Nothobranchius furzeri: one gene and its partners. The protein of the gene in region 1 interacts with the protein of each later gene in a biochemical or structural test. Links are inferred from orthologs where the notes say so. Each region holds a gene or a part of one and is shown on either strand. Other genes may lie near its edges. The genes, in order: ralaa, pld1b and ralbp1.

Evidence for each region.
Region 2: the proteins of ralaa (region 1) and pld1b form a complex in vitro, tested with the Homo sapiens proteins (2 studies listed by BioGRID). The link is inferred for Nothobranchius furzeri from reciprocal best matches to the Homo sapiens genes RALA and PLD1.
Region 3: the proteins of ralaa (region 1) and ralbp1 form a complex in vitro, tested with the Homo sapiens proteins (3 studies listed by BioGRID). The link is inferred for Nothobranchius furzeri from reciprocal best matches to the Homo sapiens genes RALA and RALBP1.

What each region holds. Positions count from the first base shown.
Region 1 is NC_091747.1:43,592,495-43,596,453, forward strand, and holds part of ralaa (ras-related protein Ral-A), read right to left. Parts: intron 3,923-3,959; 5' UTR 3,817-3,922; coding exon 3,703-3,816; intron 3,625-3,702; coding exon 3,416-3,624; intron 2,896-3,415; coding exon 2,721-2,895; intron 2,635-2,720; coding exon 2,512-2,634; 3' UTR 1-2,511. UniProt on the Homo sapiens protein: Multifunctional GTPase involved in a variety of cellular processes including gene expression, cell migration, cell proliferation, oncogenic transformation and membrane trafficking.
Region 2 is NC_091747.1:63,395,279-63,400,397, reverse strand, and holds the start of pld1b (phospholipase D1), read right to left. Parts: upstream 3,398-5,119; 5' UTR 3,326-3,397; intron 2,976-3,325; exon of another isoform or gene 2,881-2,975; intron 1-2,880. UniProt on the Homo sapiens protein: Function as phospholipase selective for phosphatidylcholine. Implicated as a critical step in numerous cellular pathways, including signal transduction, membrane trafficking, and the regulation of mitosis.
Region 3 is NC_091751.1:42,840,837-42,845,346, reverse strand, and holds part of ralbp1 (ralA-binding protein 1), read right to left. Parts: intron 4,199-4,510; 5' UTR 4,145-4,198; coding exon 3,895-4,144; intron 1,290-3,894; coding exon 858-1,289; intron 778-857; coding exon 428-777; intron 37-427; coding exon 1-36. UniProt on the Homo sapiens protein: Multifunctional protein that functions as a downstream effector of RALA and RALB. As a GTPase-activating protein/GAP can inactivate CDC42 and RAC1 by stimulating their GTPase activity.

The DNA of each region.
Region 1 (3,959 bases):
TCTGAAACGATTCAGCTACAAAGAACAAAAATAAAAACAAGCACACGATTTTCATTATTATAACACAGCCTGGCACCAAATGTAGCAAAAGGAATAAAATTAAACTGAAGCACTGGCCGTCCAGGATTACAGGATGAGTGAGTGGGGATTATCCAGTTTCACATCCCACAGGAATTCCTAAAGCCCCCGTAACCCTGTTTAGTTGCACTCCCATGATAAGCTAGCTTACTCTATCTACTCAAACTTCGTAGTGCTGATTTCTTTATTCTCACTCACCAGAATTAGGAACTGGTCACTTATTTGTGAGCAGTTTTCTTTGGTGACTGACAGCTCATCCATTTTATTCCTAAATAATAAAAGTATTGAGTTTAAAACCACATAGGACCACATCTGGAAGCCATTAGTTTCATCGTAAGTGTCAGAACTTCACGTAGAAAAGACGTAGTGTTTCTGGAATCTCCTCTTATCAGAGCACCAGGGATTCCTCAGTCACAGCAGAAGGCAACGGCAGCCATTAGCCCGGCCTTTAGAAGCTAGGAGGCCAGTAACAAGTTCAGGTGTTGCTAAAATCCTTCTCGGCTTTAAGGGTTCGATGTGGTTTGTGCATTTTCGGAAGTGACTGAGAAAAGGGGGGGGGGGGAATACCCATATTTCTATAATCCAAGAAAAAAGAAAAATGACCCTTTGCAGACTAATATAGTGCTCAAGAACATTTCCAGGAGTAAAACAGGAAGGAATGGCATCAAATTTCAGCTCTGGTTTGGATAATGAAATGTTTAAATAAAGAAAAAATCCTCCCCAGGTTCAGATAAACTTTCATTTTTTCTTCTGTGGCAAATAGGGACCTGTGGTCGGTTTGCTTTTCCTACAAAGATGTTAAATTCATTAAATGGATTCAGGGCTTTCCTCCTATCTTCTTCCATTTAAAGTTATTTTTACTTGAACTCAACCTGCAGTCTGAGTACTTTATAAACAACAAGCGTTACAATGAAAGGTTCATTTAGGAGCTTCGGGGCACTGATGTATGATGGGATCTAAGGGCCGTTGTAGTTTAAATAGAACAGGAGCGGAACGTAGCAGGGGGGTTAAACTCCTAGATAAGTTGCAGAAATGCTGAGATTAATAAAATATTTTAATTTAAAAAAATGACCAGTGCCTACTGTTTTTTTTTTGTTTGTTTGCATGAAGAAAATACTAATTTAATAACAAAAGTCTAAAAGTACAAAACTAGAACTGGTAGATGTTTGTTTTTAACCATAAATTTAACACTTTAAGAATATCTGGACATTCTTTTAATTTTCTACTTTATTCTTGGGAATTTTTAAGTTAATGATCAATTTAAAGGGACAATGTGCAGTTTTTACCGTTAATCTGGAAAGATCCATCGAAACATTGAAAATGAATAAAATAATGTCCAATCGTTGAAAAATATTGGTGGCTTCGTACCACATAACCATCAAAATCAGGTCTAAAGGGGGACGCCATATTAGATGCCATGTTTCCTTCTGGCCAGCTTGGGGTCCTGCGCCTGTCGATGACATCACACCAGATGATTGGCTGGAAGAACGGCTTATGGAAGTTACATTACCACGTTCAAAATCATTTAAGCAGTAAGAAACATGAATTTAATAACAAAACTGCTGAACTCTTTCCAAAACATGCATGAAAGAACAGAATAAAAAAAGAAATGAAATACATTTTGGCCGAGTGGTATTGCCGTAATAAGATGATGTCATCAGCAGGCGCAGAACTCAAGCAGTTCCGGAAACTACAGCGCCAGAAATCTAGCATCAGCATTCCTTTGATGGAATTAACTGAAGGATCATCAAAGTCTGAGGAGCCACGCCGAGGTTGCATGCTTTCTTCTCCGCAGGTAACGACATTTACTGTAATGTTTTTTTTAAACCAGCGACAGTCATGGCGATATGTTGTAAAATTACCCCGAAATGTATGTACTGCCCCCTAGTGCCAGGATACTACACACTGCCACTTTAAGTGTTTCAGTAAATTCACTTCCCTATATTTTTTTTTTCACAAATTTCTAACTTTAAAATGTCAATATCAGTTTTATTTTTGTAAATTTGTGTGTTTTAGATAAGGACATTTTCACACTTTTCCTTGCAAATGAAGGACTTTCAAGAACAATAATTGTATTTTTGTGTTTCTATGTAAATATGACATTAATCTCTACATTTCTTCTAGGATTTCATTCCCTCAGCTCTATATCCATATTTAATTTCTTTTAAATCAAAGACGGCCCCAATATGTTGTCAGAGTTTAAAAAAATAATAATAATAAAATAAAAAGAGTATTTGAATCCTAAATTATTTGGAGTGTCAGCACATAAAAAGTTAGAGTTATAAATGGTGGATGGAGTGCCGTCTTTACTACTTCCTGACACGGATGTCCTGTTAGCCAGAAACAGGAAGTGGTGTTCAGGTATGGGCACAAAATAAATGCAAAAGTCTGAGAAATGTATATGTACACAAGCAGCTAACCTGCAGAACTTCACTATAAAATACAGCATCTCTCTCTAATTCTCTTAGCCAAACTTTTACTTTTCTTCTTCCCGTTCTTTTCTTTGCTGTCTTCCATTTTCCTCGCTCGGATCTCTCTCATCAGGTCAAAAAACACCTGGACAGAAATAAACAAAATAAAATCTTGTTCTATTTGCTCCAGGTAAACACGGTGGGGCGACTGTAACAGGTGTGCCAACAAACCTTGTCAACATTGGCGCGGGTTTTGGCAGAAGTCTCCACGTAGCACACCCCCCACTGCTCAGCGCGGGCCTTGGCTTCGTCCGCGCTCACCTGCCGCCGGTCGTCCAAGTCCGACTTGTTACCCACCAGGAGGAAGGGCACGTTCTCATCCTCCTTCACTCGCAGAATCTGCTCTCTGCAAAACAGAGACGATGGATAGAAACAAAGCTCTGTAGGTGGTTTGGTTTAGAACAGCTGATAAAACTTGAAGGGATTTCATTTTGATGCACCCGTAGATCCTCCACCAGGGGGCAGTAGACAGAGCTGGATTTGAAAGTGATGATTGTTCTGCAGTAATTAATGAATCATTGGATAAAAGCAGATGGCTGCACGGTGGCACTGCTGATAGCACTGTAGCCTCTCCACAGGAAGGTTGCAGGTTTGAATCCCAGCAGCAACATTCCTAAGCGGAGTTAGCATGTGCGGGTTTTTTCACACGGACAAAAAAAAAACGTTTACTTCAGGTTAATTAGACTTCATCTTGTTCCTAAGAGTGAGTGAGGGGTTGTTCGTCTCTGTGGTGGACTAGAGATCTGTCTAGGATGCCCCCCCCCCCCCCCCTCACCTAATGACTGCTGGGGTTAAGCACCAGCTTCTACTGCTTTCAGATCACGAGTCAGTGAGAGGATTGACTGTAACATAATTATAAAATGTACCTGAAATCTACTGTTGCTGCGAACGACTCCAGTTCTGTGATGGAAAACACGCAGAGGAAGCCCTCTCCGCTACGGAAGTAGTTATCCCGGATGGCTGCGTAGTCCTCTTGGCCAGCCGTGTCGAGGATGTCAATCTGCACCTCCTCCCCGTCCAGCACCACTTTCTTCCTGTAGCTGTCTGCTTTAGTGGGCTCATAGTCCTCCACAAACTTCAAAGAAACATCAGCAGTTAAGATGAAAAGGCCTAAAATGAGTAAATCATTCATTCACCACTGCGATGCACTGACCTCGTCATACATGAACTGGAGGGTGAGGGCGGACTTCCCCACTCCTCCACTGCCCACCATGATCACTTTGTGAAGAGCTAGTGAGTTCTGTCCTTTTGGCTTCGCAGCTGCCATGACTCTGCGTTGATGCGCGTGTCGGGGGGAGAAAGCTCAAGGTGATGGGAGGAATGGTGAAGAGGTGAGAGGATTCCAGGTGAAGCAAAAGGCTCAATGAAGACTCCTGTGGGGGTTGAATGAAAGAGAGAGAGAGGGAATTT
Region 2 (5,119 bases), about 20 Mb from region 1:
TATCTGGTTAGCAGGTTTCTAAATGATTTACAGCCAAAGTTAGTCGTTTTTTAAATGTTTGAAATATTTAAAAATAAGTTTGTAATTTTTCTAAAATAAAAACGAAGTCTGGAAATTTGAGGCTGGAGTTTTAAAATAAAAATAAATCTGTGGCAGGAAGTGATTTTGTGTTTGGTGTTGATGGTTCTAGGTGAACGAGAATACGAAACGTTTAACAGGCGGTAAAATAAAGATCTGATTTAAATGTGACGCCTTCATCAGTCGGACATTTGGCTCGGACACAAGCTGTGGCCCGTTTGTGAGACACGTCGCCGTTTCTGCGCTTCGGTCAAACAAAACCACCTAACATCAGCTGGAGGCCATCTTTAATGTTCAGAGATTTCATTTAAAACACGCACACACACACACACACCCATACGCTCATGCACGCGCGCACACACACACATGCCCATACGCGCATGCACACACACACACACACACACACACACACACACACACACACACACACACACACACACACACAGAACATATTTAAGTACAGACATCATTGGTGTCAACAAAATAAAAGCCTAGGTTTGTTCTCATTTTTGTAACTTTGTGAGAAAAATAAAAGTTTTACTGATTTATTTGAAGCAAACATTTTAGAAAAAGTTTAATAATCCAGGCGTTTGCAGACTTTAGGACTAAACCGTTTCACTTTAGAGGATAATTATAGTTTATGCACCAAATTTAACCATGAAGTTGAAATAGTAAAAAAAAGTCCCACATTCAGATTTCTGCAGATGCAAACAGGAAATAACCTCAGCTAATGAAGCCACAGCAGCTGAGTGCTAACTGATTTTATCATCATTTAAATATTTTTATTTTAATGTAAAACCAGAGTTTAGCAGCTGGAACCTTCAGTTTCCTCCTGCTGCTGCTAAAACCTGCTGCTGGGTTTCAGTTCACTACAAACATGAATATGGATAATCGTCAGCAGGTTTAAAAGTCCCTCCGTGAGTAAATAAGCTCCGTGTGAGCCGTCTGTTGTTGAAACACGAAGGAAAACGTCGGTTTGATGAGGTTTTAGAAGCTTAAATACGTCTACTTCTGCCTCGTCTCTTCCCTTTATACAACAAGATCATTTTAGGTAGCACCAGAGCAGAAATGTTAAAGCTGCTGCCAGTGGTTCAATAGCATCACTATGGCAACCACCAGTGGCTGTTAGGGGTTCTACTGCAGTGAGACATATGATGACATCATCACAGAGACAGAACAACATTCAGTCATGGAAAGTCCAGCTTCCTGTGTCCCGGTTGGACTCTGGATCAGGTTTCTACAGTCGAGTTTACCTGAGGGGGCGGGGCTTATTGTTAGAGGCTCCTCCTGCAGCTTGTTGCAGATATTGGGTACATCTCCCAAAGCTGCAGGATGTGAAACTGAACAAACGGTCTCCAGGATCATTCCTGTTATTTCCTAATTGGAGCAGAACGTTCTCCAGAGTGGGTGAGGTTCCTGCCTGCAGGCTGCTCCGTCTCCAGAGCCTCGTGGATCCTGACATTTAGCTGCTGCTGGTATTGATTAAAGGCTGGAATCGCCCATCAGGATGTGTGTGTGTGTGTGTGTGTGTGGCACAAACACACACACACACCCTCAAAGTAAATGAAGCACTCCCATCCTGTGGGCCGTGTTTACAGGCCTGGCTGAGTACCGTTAGCCCGTTGCCACTGAGGTGCAGATCTCCTGATCTGAGACTCTGTTCAGCCTCCCAGCAGCACGGCGTTCCGGTAATCTCCTAAAGTGGTTCTGGATCATGGATGTCCAGACTGTCAGGCTGTTGTAGAACTATGATCAGGGTGACTAGAAGCAACGACAGGACAAAACTAAAAGTTTCGAAACTAAAGAACCTCCAGATGATCCAGAAGTTATCGCGGTGTTTCCCGACTGAGCCGACTCCAGAAATCAGACCAAATTATGGTTCTGAGGGGGGGCCAGGGGCGGAGCCAGAGGGGGTTCAAAGAGGGCCAGATGGGCCCCTGATAAGCTCGAGGGCAGGAGCAAAACCAAGAACCATGACTGAACTTCAGGAGCTTCACCGCTGCTGACATGTTTAGGCTGCTTGAATATTCCTGCCGAGTTCCAGGTTTCCACAACAACCGTTTCCTTCATGTAAACGTGGGATTGCACAACCCACCGGGCTTTCATCCGATTTAGTCTTTGTTCTGCATATTTTCATCTTCTTTACGTCTGGCTGGCTCATCCCTTGAGTTAGAGGCAGAGGCTTAAAACACCCTGATCAAATCTCCTTTCACAGATTTAAGAAAAGAAGAAGAAAAGATTTTCTCTGACTTCCTGGTTGAGTCAGAAACATTTCAACAGCAGTTTCACAACAAATGAACGGAACCAGAACCAGAACACGGAGCCTGCGCGTGATTTACTGCTGGAGGTGAATCATCACCAGGAGTGATTTCAGAGGAGAAGGCGCTGGTTCTGGTTCTGACCCGAGCTGAGCTGGCTCTGGGTCAGCCTGTGTGGGGAGCTGGTTCTGGTTCTGACCCGAGCTGGTCGGAGGGAAGTTCACCGCGGACGGAGAGGAGAGCAGAGAAAAGGGGAACAATCATACAGGTCTGACCCGTTCCCATCCCGCCCACGAACAGCTCCAGAACCCGCCTCCCCCCGGGAGACGGTTCCAACAACCAGACTGATTAAACCCTGAGACCGAACCAGAACCAGAACCGGAACCCTGCAGCAGGATTCCTTCACACAGCAAATAAATATTAAATAAACCCGAACCAGCCAATCATTAAACAGCTCAACTCCAGCTAACTTCCCCAACACGATAAAACAAACACATGAAGCGGACCGAACCGGACCGGACCATCGAACCGGACCGGGACTCACCTCCTCCTGATGTGAAGCGACAGCAGCTGCACCTCTGGTCGGGAGACCCAAACCCACCTGATTGATGTCAAACAGCTGTAAAAAACCTGGGCACTACATCCGGTTGGCTCACCTTCAAAATAAAAGCCTATATCTGGGAGGAGAAAGGACCGCGAGAAAAAGTTTATAATGATTCAAGACTCCTGTTTAAAAACAGAAAAGGGTTAGCTCACAAAAACATAAAATACACACATGTGACTTCACTCACACTAGAGGCTCATTAGGGTCACCATGGTAACCATCAGTGACTCGTCAGCGGCGTGTGTTTAATGGAGCAGATGTGAGGGGTTACAAAGACCAACACTTCCTCCTTGTGAGATAACATTTAGAGCTAAATGTCTGTTATTATATTAAACTCTTGTGACGTCTGGCAGAGAGTCCGAGCGAGAGAGGATGCTGAATTTACCTCTTGTTATGGTTAAAGCAGCAGGGCGTGGCCTCCTCCCTTTTCTGTTCCAGGATGAGGCTCCTGCTCAGCACTGGAGCGTCTCTGCAGACAAATGAAGAGTAATCAGAATACTTCTGTTCTGGAGGTCTGGTGGCTACAAACCAGCTGCTGAATGCACTGAAGTCAAAGAAAATGAAATGGCATAACAACGTTCTGAGTTGTTTTGTAATTAGATGATTTTAACAGAAAGGTCAGCAGAATAAAAGAAAGTGTCAGACCACTCTTTAGGATAAAAATTAGGTGCAATAAAATAAAATTAGAAATCATTTTTTGAAAATGAAATACAGGCCATAATTATATTTTAAAGGTAATTATCTGTTCAATTCGGAAATGGAAACATTTAGACATTTTTAGTTGTTTTTAAAAACAAACATGCTTAAAACCTAACTGTGAGGCTTTTGTTTTGAAGGTTGAGTCACTTCCTGTGTAGAAACACTAGTCTGCTGTGTGATTTCCTGTGAGTAACCCAGAAAATCACACAGCAGCCTGTTTATTCTGACATAATTCACTTACATCTTTAAAATGTGAGAATTGTTGAGTAACAGTTAAACCAGACCCTGTTGCTGCTCCTGGTCCCTTCACTGCAGCTTCTCCTGCTGCACCTCCTGCTGCAAAGGGGACCAACAGGAGCTGCAGCTTCTCCTGCTGCACCTCCTGCTGCAAAGGGGACCAACAGGAGCTGCAGCTTCTCCTGCTGCACCTCCTGCTGCAAAGGGGACCAACAGGAGCTGCAGCTTCTCCTGCTGCACCTCCTGCTCCTGCTGCAAAGGGGAGCAACAGGAGCTGCAGCTTCTCCTGCTGCACCTCCTGCTCCTGCCGCAGTAAGGGGCCAGGAGCAACAGTAGGAGCTGCAGCTTCTCCTGCTGCACCTCCTGCTCCTGCTGCAAAGGGGAGCAACAGGAGCTGCAGCTTCTCCTGCCGTTCCTCCTGCTCCTGCAGCAGTAAGGGGCCAGGAGCAACAGTAGGAGCTGCAGCTTCTCCTGCTGTTCCTCCTGCTGCAAAGGGGAGCAACAGTAGGAGCTGCAGCTTCTCCTGCTGCACCTCCTGCTCCTGCTGCAAAGGGGAGCAACAGTAGGAGCTGCAGCTTCTCCTGCTGCACCTCCTGCTCCTGCCGCAGTAAGGGGCCAGGAGCAACAGTAGGAGCTGCAGCTTCTCCTGCTGTTCCTCCTGCTGCAAAGGGGAGCAACAGTAGGAGCTGCAGCTTCTCCTGCTGCACCTCCTGCTCCTGCCGCAGTAAGGGGCCAGGAGCAACAGTAGGAGCTGCAGCTTCTCCTGCTGTTCCTCCTGCTCCTGCAGCCACAGTGAGACAAAATAAAACATCTGCATGGAAATGAGCTGGAGTCTCTGACTGATAATTAAAATAATCACGTACTGAAGCTCCTGAGGTCTCACAAACGACAAGAACATAACGACGCTCAAGTTGATGCTTCGTCTTCTGCAGTTGGTAATAAATCTGTCCACAACCCCTGTTCCTGTGGCAGAGGAAGAGGATGCCTACAGAACCACCTCTGTATCTTGTGTCTGTCTCAGATGAGACGTGACAGCTCCACCAGAGCCAATCCTCCGGTGGGCGGGTGAACAGACTAAAGCAGAAACATCAGAACCAGAACCAGCAGCTCATCCAGCTTACATCTAAAATCCTGTTTTCCACACCAGCTGTTGGTGTGTCAGTTTGACTCAAGCTCATCCCGTGAGTTGGGAGGTCAAAGGTCATCAAACAAAAACCCACAAAACATTCCTGCTCAATAACTG
Region 3 (4,510 bases), on another chromosome or scaffold:
GTGTGTGAAGAAGATGTAAAGGACACGATTCCCAATCTGAAAGGAAGATGAAAATGAGCACAAAGCAAGAAGAACAACGGCATCCGTCCCTCACCTGAACCTGAGATGACCAACCCAAAGGTTTCTAGGTCAGATTCTCCAGAACACAAATTCCTGCATATTTACTCAGCTCGATACTCTCATTAACCGATCGTGTTTATTTAACGCTGTTTTGGCTACTGATGTTTTTGGCTCAGAATAAGTGGGGCATCTCCTCTGGGGATAAATTAGCCCCGCCGAACTGGGCAATGGTGTCAGAGATGAACTGAACTCGTAAAATTAGTTGGTTTGTTGCTAAGGAGAAGGTCTGAGTTAAAGTCGCTTTATCTTCTTTAAGCCGTACTTTGGCTGTAGCGTACTTTGTAGACACTAAACAGCCTCCTCTGACCTGTATGGTGGGGTTGAGGACGATGGAGATGTTCTGAATGTTCATCTTGGTGTCCGACTCCCGGGCGATGACATGGTCCATGTGTGTGACGAGCCAGGAGAGGAGAAGTCGGCTCTCAGGAGACACTTCAGTCAACAGCTTCTGAAACTCCGTCACTTTCTCGGCCTCCGTCTGCCGACCGCAGGCGTCCTCAAACCTCTGGGCCAGGTCTCGACCCAGCAGGTTCTCGGGCAGCTCTCTGAGGTACTGCTTCAGCAGACTGGCGACGGTGTGGGGGTCGTACTCCTCCAGGCAGGGGCACTCCTCACGGTCGTAGGCGGCTTTCAGTTCATCCACCTTAGACTTCATACCTGGCCGGGAAACAAATGAATGAAGTACTCAGAGAGGAGTGTTATGATTTCTTCTGAAGGAAAACAAAGGTGTTCGATACCTGAGACCCGGTAGATACCCTCACACTTCATGCCATAGTTTTCTATGTAGTCCACACATTCTCTGAAGATGGAGGGCAGCTGGATGCCGTCGTACAGAGCCGTCCTCTTCAACGCTTCACCCAGCGGGGCTCCAAAGATGGGCCTGATGGTGGGGGTCTCCACTGGGACTGGCTCTGACTCTGCAACAGGCTTCTTCTTCTTCTTCTTCTCCTTCCATTGTTTGACCACATCTGCTGCCGTCAGGTCCTTGGACTTTTTATCTTTGGCCTTTTCCTCTTTGGGGCCCTTCTCCTTCACCTTAAAGTCCTTCTCTTTCTTCTTGGAGAAGCTCGGCTTCTTGAACACGTGGATTCCCTTGGAGCGCTTCATTTTGGAGGGGCTCTCCGCCTCATCTGCCGAACTGTCCTCCTGGAAGGCGGCGTATCCCTCAGCTGTGGACGTAAACAGTGAAAAAAAGAGGCAGAAACGAGGTTAAATCTGAAGGGAGGGTGCCCTTATCTCCCTCCTACAACAGAACTACGATAGAGGCGAAATAGAAACAGGAAGAGAGATGTGTGAGAGAGAAAAGAGAGCAGAGGGAGAGAACGGGGACTTGGAAAAGAGGTCACCTCTGATTGAGCACAGCTCCCCCAACACCTTCCAGCTGGCTTCTCCTAAAGACGATCATCTCTAATATCTAACGAGTGACCTCTTCTCAGTTTTACTAGTATTATTATATCGGTCCTGTTTGTCAGTGTCACTGGGATCAGTGGGCGTTGGCCTAAAACTGACCATCACTTCCTTTCACTCGCAGGACACGAGTGCAGGAGCTAAAAGCAGACATGGAAAAACTAATACAGAGAAAGACACTGACCGCACTACCAGCAAGGAGAGGAAGGACGAACCTAAACAGCTGAAAAACTCTCGCTGGTTTGTTTTAAACGCTGCTTCATGACTCGTGCTGTGCAAAAGATTTAAACCACTCTTAATTCCTCAGCAGTAGCTCAGGAGGTAGAGCGGGTTGTCTAATAATCGGAAGGTTGTAGGACTGATTCCATGCCCTGGCAGACAATTCTTCTGTTGTGTCCTTGAGCAAGACACTTAACCCACCCCGTCTGCTGCTGATGGTGGTTGTAGAAATGTGTGAACTGCATCTTCATTCTGTACAGCTATCCTTCAGCTAACAGCTACCATCTTGCTGGTTCTAAAACACATTTTTTATACTTTAGACTTTTCTTTGTTATATTTGGACATTCAATTAAATTAATTAAAACAAACCATATTTTTAATTTTAACCTAAAGCTAACATTTTTATGATATGCTCAGGTATGTGTACACACAGGTTCATCCATTTTAGTCACCTATTTACTATGAAGTTATTCTTAAATCAGTATAACCCGGCTTTTAAAAAATCTTAATTGTTCATACTCAAGGACTGAACCAATGCACTTGCAGAACATATGAACACATAAGATATATGGACTGTTTTATCTGACGCCGCCATCTAGAGGCTGAAACATGTATTGCACCTTAAGCCATTCTCCCCACCTCCATATTTATGGCCACACCTCTAGCTGGCAAACAGGGCTGAAACACACCGTCTTGTATATTTTCCCAAGTTGTGCTAATTCATGTCCATGAGAAATGCCCCCAACTCTGCTCTTTGACTGACATCTGTACATAGGCGGATATCACTACTGGCTGATGCTGAGCGGCACACTTTTCAAACTGCATGAGGCTCTACAGGACGAGGATGGGCTTTGCAAAAAATAAATAAATAAAAAGATGCATTGCCTACATTATATCACAAAACAGGCAGGACATTTCTAGAAAATCATCCATAATTCTGAGGGAGAACTCCGGATTGTCACAATATGTGCTGGTATGCTTTCAAATTCCAGTCTAAATATTTGTAGTTTGAAAATCTTTCTTAATTAGTGGTATCAGTAACTTCTACAAACACTTCATCTATTGAAATTCCATAAAAAATATCTTCCAATTTATTTAGGTCTCATTTTGCATTTGGAATAAAACCTTTGAAGTCATTTTTCCATGTTTAGTGGGACTGAACGATTTTAGGAAAAGATTGAATTGCAATTTTTCTTGCAGAAATTGCGATTTCGGTTCAATTCACGATTTTCTGCAAACAAAGGTCCAACACTAGCCTGCCAAGCCATCCTATAGATTAAGTGAAAAGATGGTCTAGATTCTAATCTAGTACAACAAATCATTCACATTAATATTTACTATTTAGTCATACAATAAAAACAGTTAAAGCTATTCATATTTTCTCCCATAATTATATTTATTTAAATTTTTAATGTGTTTGTGAAGCAACATGTGCTTGTGATTTTTATCTAGAGAGGAGGTTTATAAAAACATGTTCTACTCCAAAAATGCATGGAGGAAATCTGTAGATAGAAATAGCTTTTAAATGTATTAAATAAAAAAAATGCACACAGTTTTCCCTGCATTTCCAAGGCAGGCCGGCTGCACGTTTTTCGAAGCCGTCTTGATAGTTTTTCCTCACTAAAACGTCAGTTCCGTGAGAGAGACGAACACATTCTGACACCTTAGCTTGTTTGAACCAACATATGCCATCAGAAACATTCAAACCATTTTAAATGAGAAGTTTAGCTTTCAAGTCAACTAAAGTGCGCGACTCTGCAGTCACGCTGATGAAGCATAAACCAGCTTTAGAAACCAGCCTGAACCTGCTCCGATGTGGGAGGAGTCTCTCCCCTCCCCTGCTCTGGCTTATGCCACCGCCATAACACAGGGAGAAAACCCCGGATGTAAAAAAATAAAAATAAAAAAAGTTACACAACTGATCCTGGATCAGTCAAAACCGCTAAAACCGCAGCTTTGACAGTCACGACCGTACTGTTTGAAATCGCAATTTCGATCCACAAACGATAGATCGTTCAGCCCTAATGATTAGTGACAAATACCAGCATACCTTTGGAGTAAAACAGCTTCAGGTCATTCCCCATAACTAAAGCAGGTTTGATTTAACAGAAGAAATAATCATTTTCAGAAGATTAAAACATATCCTACTCCTTTTCTCCTTCTTTTTAAACTTGTTCTTCTTCTTGCTGTGCTCCTTGTCATCGTCAGAGACGTATGTGTCAGGTGCCTCGTGGTGATGTCCATCATGAGGCGGCGAATGTTCATTGGCACGATACAACCCGGGGAACTTGGTAGGGCTGATCTCCTCGGAGCTGGGGGTACGAGCAACGCCCCCCGGGTGCTCAGCCCTGCGCTGCTCTGCAGGGCTGCTGCTGGGGGGTAGGAAGCACTCAGTCATAGCTTCTCTGGCCTTTAGCGCTCCTCTGACTGGAACATCACCTCTCCATCACACCTACAGTGACAAAAAAAATGTTCAATAACAAGATTTTATAATACAATGATAACGACTAATTATATTAAATAATTATATTTTATATAATAACAATATTTAGGTTTTCTTTGTAAATTAAAATGGGTTTTCACATGTATTACAATAACATAGTCTAGTCACCAGGGGCAGCAGTTGGTGGTCTTTGGATGCAGAATAAAAGAACCAAACCCCCACAAACATCTTGGGCGAAGTTTAAGGATCTTTACTTTTTCCCTTAAATCTTTCAAAGTAATCTTGATTAACAGACAGCTGGTTTTCTGAATAACCTTCCTG